Drosophila melanogaster: one gene and its partner. The gene in region 2 interacts genetically with the main gene of each other region. Each region holds a gene or a part of one and is shown on either strand. Other genes may lie near its edges. The genes, in order: dap and caup.

Region 1 (6,519 bases), on a different chromosome or scaffold from region 2:
GCAACGAATCGGCCAGCAGTCGTCGAGCCAAGTTCAGGATAAATCAGATGAGTCGCGATGTGCCCGTTGGGCTGCCGGACACTCATCAAACCGTGAATCTGGAGGAGGCGGCCAACACCACCAAGGATTGCCTGCTGCATTTGTTGGAGAAATACAACGAGACCCGCATCCGCAATCCGGTGGGTCGTCACCAGAGCATCAGCGTGGACTGGCGGGTCAGCGACAATCTGGAGTACCGCTCCATGAGCTCCATCAACGCCTTCTTCCAGCGCCACAACCCCAATGGCGGCGGCCACAACGTACGCCACATTCAAGCCCAGCTGGAGGAGAAGGCGGCGGGCAAGTAGGTGCCCATATCCACAGCCCTCTGTATATATGCGATATATATATTTGTATGTAGAGTACAGATCAACTAATTGGCACATAGGTAAATCTACAAAGCGTCGAATGGAACAAATTAATATTTATGTACTTGATGTAAGCAATAAATCAAATTAATTTATTGAATAAAACTGAAGCAATGATTCGTTTCTATTGACGCGGGATTGAATTTTGTTGGCATCCCACGATATTTTATAAAAATGAAATTAAAAATTAAAAACGCGATTTATGTACTACCAACTAGAAAATCAAAAACAATTTATTGCAGAAAAACAAATATTAACTTATAAAATGTACAAAATTGTTTTAGTAAACTACATTTTACTGCTACGTCTACAACCAAAGTAATGCGGATGTGTTGGTAATTTTGAAACAGGACAATCGCGTTGTTTTTGTTTTGTTTATTGATGTATGAGTTGAATATGGTTTAATTATACATAGAGTGTCTATACATATAAATATTAGGAGAATACTTTGGATTTGTTCTTAGTTAGGCCTTACAAATTAATGCTTTGTATAAGTGTTATGAAGAATAGGCTCTGCCTATGTGTATAGTATGTATAATAATCTAGTTTTTGTACATGATAGTTTCAGGCAAAATTGTTTTCATAATTTGCCCAGAGATCATAGCAAATCATAAAAGACATTTTTAGCACTGGTTAAGAAATGAGAGCGCGACAATTTGTGTCCATTCGGCGGCATTCATATAAATAAGGCATCCAAACGTGCAGAAATTGACGAAGTTAATTCAAAGGCATTCCTCTTTTTTTTTTTTGTTTTCCACTGGTCGAATTGGTTACAATGTTAGTAGGTCGCAAAAACAAAGCAGCAATGAGCCGAAATGCGGCTTATTGGGGCATCGTTTTGGCGCCCTTAATATGCAAGACAAAACTCAATTCTACTCTCCCCTCAGTTTCAGTACTTGGATGAAGTGGCAGGGCAGAGAAAGGATGAGTTTTGTTCACCCGGCAAATTTCAAATGCAAAAGTTGCCGGCGAAATTTGCAAGGATTTCACAAAGTTATGTAAAGTTAGTATTCCATCGTTATAAAGGTTAAATTTCGGTTGGCTTCAAGATAGTTAAGACTAATTCCATTTAGCTTGCGGTCTCTCTCTTCTTGTTCAATAGTTGTTTGTTGTTAAGAACTAATCACTTAGTTTATGGCATTTCTCACTAGAGAAATCTAAAAAGTTTCATTTAGCTCGAGCTTACTGGTTGACTTACAACTAATTACTGGTTACGAGTAGTTGAAGACTAACGATTAATATTCGCAACTGTCGCCCTTGCACTGCATAAAAAGGTTCGTAATAAAAAATTAGGAAATACTACACAATCGCAGTGGCTTGTAAAAAATAAAATTACAAATTGCAATTCGGTGGGTTGGCCAGCGAATCTGGAGCATTAGTTGTGGCGCGGCCGCTTCAACATCGCCCCAAAGTGTGCCCCCAACCCAAATCCACCGCTGGAGCTGGAGCTGGAAGTGGCGGACGAACTGGGAGAACTGGTGCGCATGCGCTTTGCGGGCGATAGTTTCTTGGGTGCCTGGGCCAGACGTTTGCGCTCCTTCATGAATTCTGTAAACAAAGGAAGGAAAACGAGTGTTATTAATACGTGTTAGGTGGAATTGCCAAATCAAAGTCAGCTGCTGCATTTCCGGTTGCCCCTGTTCACAAGTCACTGATCCCTAAACAGCAGGCGCCGCCTGTTTTTCTGTTTTTGCACATTTTGATTTCGGTTTCGGGTAGATTCCCAGATTGTGGCACGTGGACGGCAGCACTTCCCTACCAGAGGGTTGCAGATCCGCACAGGGGTAGCAAATAAATGCCAGACGGCAGCCAGACAGTCGGTCTTTAGCCGGTTTTCAGGTAGTCCGGTGAAAGCAAGAGTGGTGGTGCTACATAACTGCATAAATTATGAGCTCTAGCTTACTGGCCAAAGCAGCAAAAAGTGCACTTTAAGTAAAGCGAGTTGAGGCGTTGGGGGATTCAAAGGCTTCCCTACTGACCACCCGATGCGGGTGCATTTATTATGTTCCGAACAGACACAATTTTTTTATGATTATAATTACACATGCATGTGCTAGTGGCATTTATAAAAAACGCTCAGTACAAAGCAATCAAAGGGAGGTTTGATAAGACCATGGACTCTGGATGGTGGTGCATTGAAAGCCGATCCCCAGACCCCTCTCCCGTTTTCTATAATGAGGTCAGGCCATAGACAAAGCGGAGTCACAGCTGTTGGCATTTATAGATGCAGCCAGCCAGCCCGCATGCTATCGATCTGGAAACCAACCCCCGCGTTGTGGAGGATCAGAAGAGAATCATTCGGTTTAGGGAGATGAGGAGCTGAAACAGCTGCAGTCAGCTTTGACTTACCCTTCTGGACGAAAATAAATCTCCCACAAAGCATTGGCTAATTGCTATAATTTGGGTCTAAGTTTCACGAAAAACGCCCACAACTAAAACGTGAATATAAACAATAAATGCGAAGGAGTGGACTTAAAACCAATCAAACAACCCCTTATGGAGTTTAGTATTGTAAGTACAAAATCCTGCACAAAATATTGGTTTGGCATAAAATCATTGATGAAAATCGTTTTCATCGAGTTTGCAAAACAAAGAGCACGAATCTACTTTTATATCTCGAGCACTATATTCGGAAATTTTTAGATAATACTCTCTACTCTACAGATAATTTTGAAAAATAATATCGTATCAGTCCGATTACAAAACAAGCCTGATAAGTTAAAAAAAAAAAAAAAACACCCTCAACTTCCTCCTGAGAACCGAAAATAAACAGGGAATAAAAGGAAAGCTATGGGAAAACACTTTGTAACGTCTATCGAAGTGAAATGAAGCCTGACCCTGGGAACCGTCAAGCTCTACTGATCAAAATGGTGTAGAACATCCCCCAAAACTCACCTGTGATTTTTGGCTGTCTCTTGCGCAGGACTATGGAGGATGTGCTTGTCGTGCTGGAGGAGCTAAGCCGCATTGCCAGCGACTCGTCCTGGGAGTCGTAACAAGATTCATTATCCGTGTTCGACTCTAGCGAGGAATTGACCAGATTGGAGCCAAAGTTCTCCCGTTCTGAGCGCTCGTTGACCAAAATGTCCATGTCGCTAGGACTTGCATCCGCGGAAGGGCGTACGTGGGCGGCCCGTGTTAGGGTGTACATCTCTGGGGCGAAGCTCGACTCCTGGAAGCTGACGCGCTCCCAAATGTAGGGTGATTTTTCAGCTAAAGGGCAGCCGGCGCGGAAGTCAAAGCCCCATTTTTGCGTGGCCAGTTCTTGATGGCGCTCCAGTTCGGAATTAAAGGGTCTAAAGAGGATATATTGTTAGCTATTGGTCAAAATCCAACTGTTATTATAGAAACTCACGTTTTGTTGGCTGTACCCTCGGCGGATTTGGAGCTACCGAAGAGGTCACGCTTTATGCGATTCAACTGACGACCGCATGCCAGATTGCGACTCACCGCCGGGCTGCTGCTCATCTTGCAGAACTCACTGATCATCACAGGATTCAGGACTCGGGCACTGACCATGTTGAGTCAATATATATTTTTTTGGGATCCCCTAGTGTTTTCTACTCTGTTTTGAGACGCACTTTTCTTGCCACTTGTTTGCGAATTACACGCCAAAGCGAACTGTCAAACTTTTGGCGCCAAAACTTTGTGTTCAGACAGCCCCAAAAGAGAGAGAGGCAGTCTCCACACGAATACAAATCACGGTCTCCACACGCGAGCGTGTGTGTATGTGAGAGGGAGAGCGAGTGTTCTGTGTGTGCGTTGTGCTGCAGCTTATTTTACGTCTTGCTGCGTTCAAAAGTGAAATTTCACGCTGCAATTGTTTATAAAAATAATTATAAACAAATGCCTTGGTCCAATAGCACTTGGTCACTATCTTTGAATGGCGATTCGAACACACTGCACTGCTAGTCGACTCACAAAACGAAACGTTTGCGGGTCTCGTTGGAGTTTTTGTATGAGTTAGCTGCCAATGGCAGCACCTTTGTATTATATTTGTCTTTACAACTTGAAGTCGTTTTTACAGCGATGTTTGTTAACCTTTTCGGCTATGAGCGCACTGCGCACTAGATTTTTAAATATAGCGCTACCGATCGAAGCGAACCTCTCTCGACGAACTCGGAGAAACGAATAAAAGATAAATAAAACACTGGGCAAAAGCAAACGTCAAACAACCACCAGAGGCGTTGCCAACTGGAAATTCAGAGCGGTTCACGCTCTCTCTGTAGCAACCCTCGAATTCGAAAAGATCGGAAAAGCAGCAGGAGCGAAAGAGATAGGGAAAAAGAATGCGCTTTTAATGTTAATCATATCGAAAGAGCAATGCACTTCCTTTGAATTGTTCTTTAAACTTATATAGCAAACGTATAAAAAATACTCAGAAAAATAAAAGTTTCCTAACAAAATTTAACTAAGGCATCTGAGTTTAAAAGTTTTGATATTATGAGCTTTAATATAATTATTGATTGTTGGAATCATCATATAGTACAATATATAATACGTATTCATTATTATTATTATTATTATTATTATCATTATTTTCATTATTTCCTGTCAAATAATATTCACAGCTCATAAGCCCATAGTTCATTTGTAAACAGTATTCAACCAGATTTTATTTTTAATGTTTTTGAAATAACCAATTTAATTATATTTTAAACTGTCCAAGGTTCCTTCATAGAGCGTATCAAGAAAGTCGTCACAACTTCCACAACCTCTCTCTCTCTCACCATATGTCTCCCACTCTCTCGCACGCCATCTACCCATCCCTGCCATTTCCATCCGTGTGTTCTGTTCGCTGCCTTCTTGGTTGTTGTTGCATCGGTGGAGCTGTACTTTTAGTTGCGATTGCGATGGGAAGATACGAAAAAACGATGTTATGGTTTTGGTTTGTTTGGCCTCAAACTGGATTTTTAGTCGTCGGAGGGAAGTGGCAGGGGGCATTTGGGGCACCAATTCTTTTCACTTTCCTCGTGTTGCCAAGGGGAAAATCGCGCTTGCATTGTGGGGCACTGGTCCACCAAATATACATTTGTACGATGTATGTATGTATGTATGTAAAATAATGTGCACGTCTAGTTCGAATTTCCTTGTGGTGTTTGCATAGCACTGGGTATTTCAAATTTCCGTTATGGTTCACTTTGTGAAACGCAAGTTTTCTGCTCATTTCGTGCTGCATTTTCATAAAGTTTTTTTCCTTTCGTGTGCAAAATCGTAAAAAATTAAATTACACTACCAAAGGCAATAAAACGAGATTTATATTGTTTGAACAAATCCAATTAAATAAGAAGGAAAGAATTGGGACAAAGCCTTGGAAGTCAGATTCGTAGACTAAAGACATCATTTGCTTTGTCCTTTGCACTCGACGAAATAATGGGAAAACCCATCGGCTTTCCACACAAAAACCCGAGAAAAAAAAAAACAAGAAAAAACGGAGTGCAATCACCCCAAAAAAGGCAGAGATCGTTTGACGAACGTTCGATTAGGCAGCATCATCATCCATCCATAATTCGTTCCTTTCCACTCCCATAAGATCCGATCCCTTGTGGTTCGGTTTTCTGTTTATGGGACACACCCTCCCTCAAAAAGAAAAGCAACGTGAATTTACACACTTTATAACAAATTTGAGAATTCTACTGGCGTTCGGCGGCAGTCATGCCTGAAAACATAAACAACTCAAGAAGGAGTTTTTCGAAAGGGGAAGAGTTCGTGATCCCTTTAAGTAATTTCCTCCCGAGCAGGATATCCTGGCTTTATATGGGTTGTGTCAACACACGCGGAAAAACAAAAAAAAAAAAGGCTGAGAAAAGAGGTGGAAAAGCGGTTCTCAAGTGTCCCGCTTATGAGGGCAGATCCTAAAGGATTGTCGTGGAACGTGCGGGCATTGGATGGCACTCAAGGTATTCACTTGATTGCAGTCCTTAATGCTGGTAGGATCGAATTGGATCTTATCCGAATTCCCTAATATGCACTCAACTATGGCCCCCCCCCCCCCCCCCCGAGTAGATAAGGGCTAGGCAAATATCATCAGTGTTTCCTAGTCAAAGGTCGCGCGGTCGGTAGAACATTATCTCGTATCTACTAAAACCTCAACAAAGCCCAGTCCTGCCTT
Region 2 (5,241 bases):
TTCGCAACTCAACTGCGGTCTCAATGTTTGCATTAAAAATTCATAAATCAATTATGGAATGCACACTGCGAAATATTAGTTTTTTCTCGCATCATTTACGGGCTTGTCCTTTTGCGTCCCAATGGAGATGGAGATGGGGAATTTGGGGGGGCTTCAGATGGAGCCTATGTGAATCCAGGACTCGACATCGTCGCGCACTTTTTGCTGCCTTAGAATTTTAGTTATTTTGCCATGAAATGCGTGAACAGCTCGCATGGGAAGTTAAGAATTCGATGTGCGATGTGCCTGCAAGTTCTTTTGCTACTGCCAACTGTCAGCCGTTGATTAAATTTATATATTGTCGTTTTTTTTTATATTTGGAATGCCGTCTTGGCGTCGAAATTAAAATTAAATTAATGAGAACCCGAGTGTGTGCACTGCATAAATTTGGCACCCGAATGCCATATCAACTGACCAGTCTTTCATTGGTGGCTTAGTCGCATTTAGTGGCTTTTAGTGGCTTTAGTAGACGTATGCAAATGAGCCGAAAACGATGACAAAATTCTGTTGGCTCTTAATCGATTGCAAGGCAAAAGGCTTTTTGCACATCTCCAGCCATAATTATAGTCGATAATCTGAACGTTCATTATTTTAATTATTGTAATTTACCAAGTTTGCATATTATAATAAATGGTGCACCACTCCGCCGGCGGCTTCATTAGCATAAATTTATGCCAGCCACCGTGGTCAGGAATATTGTATACATACACACATATATACATATGTATATATATAAATGTACATAAATTGGCAGCAGGATAAACGCACTAGCATTGACGCATTTGACCACATAGTAGTCGTTGAACATGGCTTACACAGGCATTGCAAGGGCTTTGTAGCTGCAAGTGTTTCACTTCCCCCCGTTTGGGCCAACTAATTTGAATTACTGAGCTCCGAATACCGGGTAATTATGACCAGACCTCGGACGATGCACTGCCACCGGAATGCCCCACCAGACCCCCCCCTTCGGTTACCAGCGATTTGCATCCAAGGCGGTGACGGCTGTCCTAAATTGTGAAACATTTCTTGGCGGCGGGGCGGCCATTATGGCTATATCCGCATATATATATATATATCTATATATATATGTATGTATATATATAGGGATCCAGGAGCCCCAACCGGTGCCAAAGTGCTTGAATATTCATGTGCAGTGGCTGCTCCCCAAACCCGCCGGCTTAATATGTAAATTTAAAGTTATTTCGCACCGTCCATTATTAAAGATTTCCCTTTTCGCACATGCCAAAATATTCAACTGACTCAGTTTCTGGTTTTATGAAACATCTTTTGTGTGTGTGCCAAATATTATTTTAGTCCGCACTAAATAAATAGTATATTCAAGTGTCTCTTGAAATGATTAAGTTATGGCTGCATATTGAAATGGCACAGCTGTAAATCAAAATATAATAAATACATATAACGAAATTAATAAATTTAATTTCATGGCCAATATAAATTGTTATGACTAAGCCATCTGTTTTAAATTTAAATTTAAGGCACCCAGTAGCAATAATTCAGAAATTTGCTCTTTCAACTGGTTTTTCGCATTCTACTCAATTTAAATCAATGTATTTATAAATCTTCAGATTCTATTCACAATAATTATTGTAAGCAAAGTGCTCTTTATAATATGGTATTTATGGCCTTCAGTTTGAACACAAATTATGAGATTACAAAAAAAAATTTGGATAAGGTTTTTAATTGATTTGGAATTTGTTACTTTTAAAATTGAATATATTATTGACAAAATCTAAAGGGAGCAACATTTTCAAAGCAAATATAAATGTATATATAAGATACAATATTGGATCCATACTAAAAGATTCCTTAAAATTGTTGTCTGTGCTAAATAACCGTTTAAAACTTAAGTTAAGTTTGCTTACTAATCAATACAGACTTAAAAAAAACGGTTAACTGTTAATCTCTAAACAAACCACCGGCATAAACCCACCTGATTTGCCGTCGGGTAGCCAGCGTATCCAAACTGCGCATATGCAGCCATTGTCTCGCTGGCTGAGTTGGCCTAAAGAGCGGCGACACGCGAGTTCACTGTGCCGGGGCTTCACTGTGGGGCGTCCCTCGTTGTTTGCTTGTTGTTTTCTTATTTTTTTTTGCGATTGCGGATGCGGATGCTGGCGGAGCCCTCGAAAAAGGGGTGGCCAAGGATGTGGGGATGGTGTTGGGTGCTTAAGGGAGGTTCAAGTGGGTGGCCAGTGGGTGGTTGGGTTGGGTGGCTGGGCGGATTTGGCGTGCGTGCTCGACGGCTAAGCACTCTGGGCGCTTTTGTTGTTTGCTGGCTTGTTGGGTGTTGTGCTATTGTTGTTGTTGCTGCTGCTGGCTGGCCTTGTTGAAAATTGATAAAACAAATTGTCGATGTCGAGCAGTTCTGTTAATGTCGCCGGAGCCGGAAAATGTTTTGTTTGTTTTGTGTGACTTTGCTGTTTTATTTCGCTCGTCCGTTTTCATCCGTTTTAACTTGATTTTTATTGACTCTGTTTGACTCTTTGGCGGCCGGTTACCAAAATGGTTAAAAAAAGACACACACAGACGACAGCCGGGCAAAGCAAATTGGATTCAAGTGTTTGCCGCAAACAGATTTACAAATGTACGCGGCTCTTCAGTCTTCGGTCAAAAGAATGTGTCAGTTTGGTTTGCGAGTTTACCCACTGATTGGTATTTCAGTTTTTTCCACACTGTATCGAAATTTTTTAAAGTCAGCTTAGGAAACTTTTTGATATGTGATCCATAATAATAAACATAGTTTCGAATTTATGGCGAGTTTCTTTTGATATTTAACGAGACATTTCTAGAGAGGTTTGCCTGTCTTTTCGGGTCCCTTTTTTTCGTATTTACTTTTATCATAACTATTGCACGCACTTCATTATCTACGTCGGTTGCATCTGCCGATCCGATCCGCTGGCAATGCTCCAGTAAAAACGGGTTCCGTTCCAACCTGTCAGCGGTATCTCCACGGTGACGACGGCAGTGACTGCGACTCAATAACCGACTGTGACTTATCCGGTGACTGTAACTCGTTCGTCGGTACTTTCGTTTCGGCCTTTTTTCGAGTTTACTGGGCGACGCGGCGGAGATGCCAAGATGCGAAGATGCGCACCTATTCGCGTTTCGGAACAAACTGTTTTTCGGCCGCTCAGCGAGCAGCGCGGTTGCGTGTGACAGAGATGGCAGCAGCGATGTAAACGGGATGGCTGCAGGGCCGCGAGAGAGCCAGCCAGTTAGGAGCTCTCCCATTGGCCAGCGTTCCAATCAGACTGGCAGCCACGAGCAGCAGCCTTCTCGCTTGCACGTCTGTGAGTGGTCTGGTAACGAGTGAGAAGGGTAGACTCTCTGGGGCTGTTGTTGCTTTGTTCGTTGAGAACGCCCACCTCCAAGCACTGGAAAGTAAGTCGACGCTCTCTTTCTGCCGACCCCTCTCTGTCGACGTTGGAAGCGATTTCATGGCGGACCACGATCGAAAGGCTTCCCAATTGGATATTGTAGCCAAAGTTGGCTAAGAATTTTCCGATTTTGATAAAAAAGTACAATACAGAAATAATTGGAAAAACTAGAAAAGAGTTGCTGAAGATTTGCTATCATAATAACTGGTCAAAATACGTCTGGGCATACATTCGTGGGAAGAATTGGAACATTTTTCTACAATCTCAAAAAATCAAACATTAATTTAATTAATTAAATATAATGTTTAAGAAAATTTGCAGGCATATAAAGATATGTTTTTCAAGACGAGTGGGTATACAATCTCTTTAATATTGAGTAGTTTAGTGTTTTATTTGATCCGCTTCCAATTATTCTTTGAAATTTTAAAAGAGAATTTTCAATATTAAAATAACAAAAACATAAAACCTTTTTTATAAGCCCAGCTGAAATAAATATAATCTATGTCACATCAAACTACAAAAAATAACATACAGCAAACAAATATAAGCATGTTTTTATATTTTAATAAACATATTTGCTTTTCTATCTTGGCTCCCAATAAACAAAAAGTTTGATATTTTAATGTGCATTTAAATTTTGGGTGGTGTAAGGACTTGGAAAATCTAAAAAGTAATCAAATTAAATTATTTTAGAAGGTCTGCAAGTATATAAAGCCAAAATCTAATTTTATTTAAGAAAACTAATCCGTACGTTATTGGTAACATCAACAACATTTAATCATTACAGTGTGTGTGTGTTTTTTTAAAAATAGCTTGATATATGCATTGTACATTTCCCATAAAAGTGCTTAATGCTCCAATATCTCAAGGCCAAATCACGAAAATCGCAGCTAATTGGGACTAGCTAATCGTAACAAGATACCGAAATAGGAGAAAAAACAAACAAACAATCCGATTCCATTCGATCCAAGGAAGGGGGCGTGGCCGGTCCATTTGAGGGTCCTCGAGTCGAGTGCGTTCTAATTAATGGTATGTGGAGCGGGCGGGGTGGGGAGGGGAACTGAACGTTTTTGGGGAATTTTTGTAAAATGAGTATTTTGATGTTTTGGGGTGTTAACGCGCTGCCATTTATTATAAATGCGAGTGCATCTCAAAGTCAAAAGAGACGCACATGTGGCACTTTTTTCGGTACTTACAAACGAACGCATATGTAAATGTGTGTGTAGCAATGTGTCATTTGCATAGGAAAATGAAAATGCACCGGGTATTTTTGGGAAAAGTGTCCGAATGCCCAAACTCCTGATCGGTACTCAATTTCTGGACGCTCTTGGCGGCGCCACGAAATTCTACACCCACTTCATGAGTCTGGGGATCTGGAATACGAAAGGATTCACATGAAAGAAATGCATTTGAGAATAAAGAATTCATCCATGAAATTTAAAATGTATGCTTTTAAAAATTGAATTTCTAAAGAGCCAAATTGTGATTGGTTTAAAAGTTGCAAATAGTTATTCTTCAATTGAAAACAACATAAATGCAATCCAATCATACCAAAACGTTATGTAAAGTAATCATATATTAAAACAATTTCTGAATCATCAAATAAGCAGGACTATACTCGTGTAATTTTTTAAGTTTCGATATTTTGAAGATACACAAGATGAACATTTCAAATAATCTATATATAATTTATATTTAGCATAATTATAAGCTTATATTAAATAAATACTAAATGTTTAAGAAAATATGTAAAATGAGTATCATGCTAATTGGAGTATATTTTAATTGAATCGAATGTTTTCTG

What was found.
Region 1: of caup (region 2) and dap, changing one enhances a phenotype caused by changing the other (phenotypic enhancement), as found in Drosophila melanogaster (one study listed by BioGRID).

Annotation. Positions count from the first base shown.
Region 1 is NT_033778.4:9,710,347-9,716,865, reverse strand, and holds dap (dacapo), read right to left. Parts: upstream 4,546-6,519; 5' UTR 3,927-4,545; coding exon 3,763-3,926; intron 3,704-3,762; coding exon 3,303-3,703; intron 1,956-3,302; coding exon 1,783-1,955; 3' UTR 610-1,782; downstream 1-609. Other genes in the region: sqa (spaghetti-squash activator), read left to right, coding at 1-347.
Region 2 is NT_037436.4:12,607,569-12,612,809, reverse strand, and holds the start of caup (caupolican), read right to left. Parts: upstream 3,180-5,241; 5' UTR 2,042-3,179; coding exon 1,991-2,041; intron 1-1,990. UniProt on the Drosophila melanogaster protein: Controls proneural and vein forming genes. Positive transcriptional controller of ac-sc (achaete-scute). May act as an activator that interacts with the transcriptional complex assembled on the ac and sc promoters and participates in transcription initiation.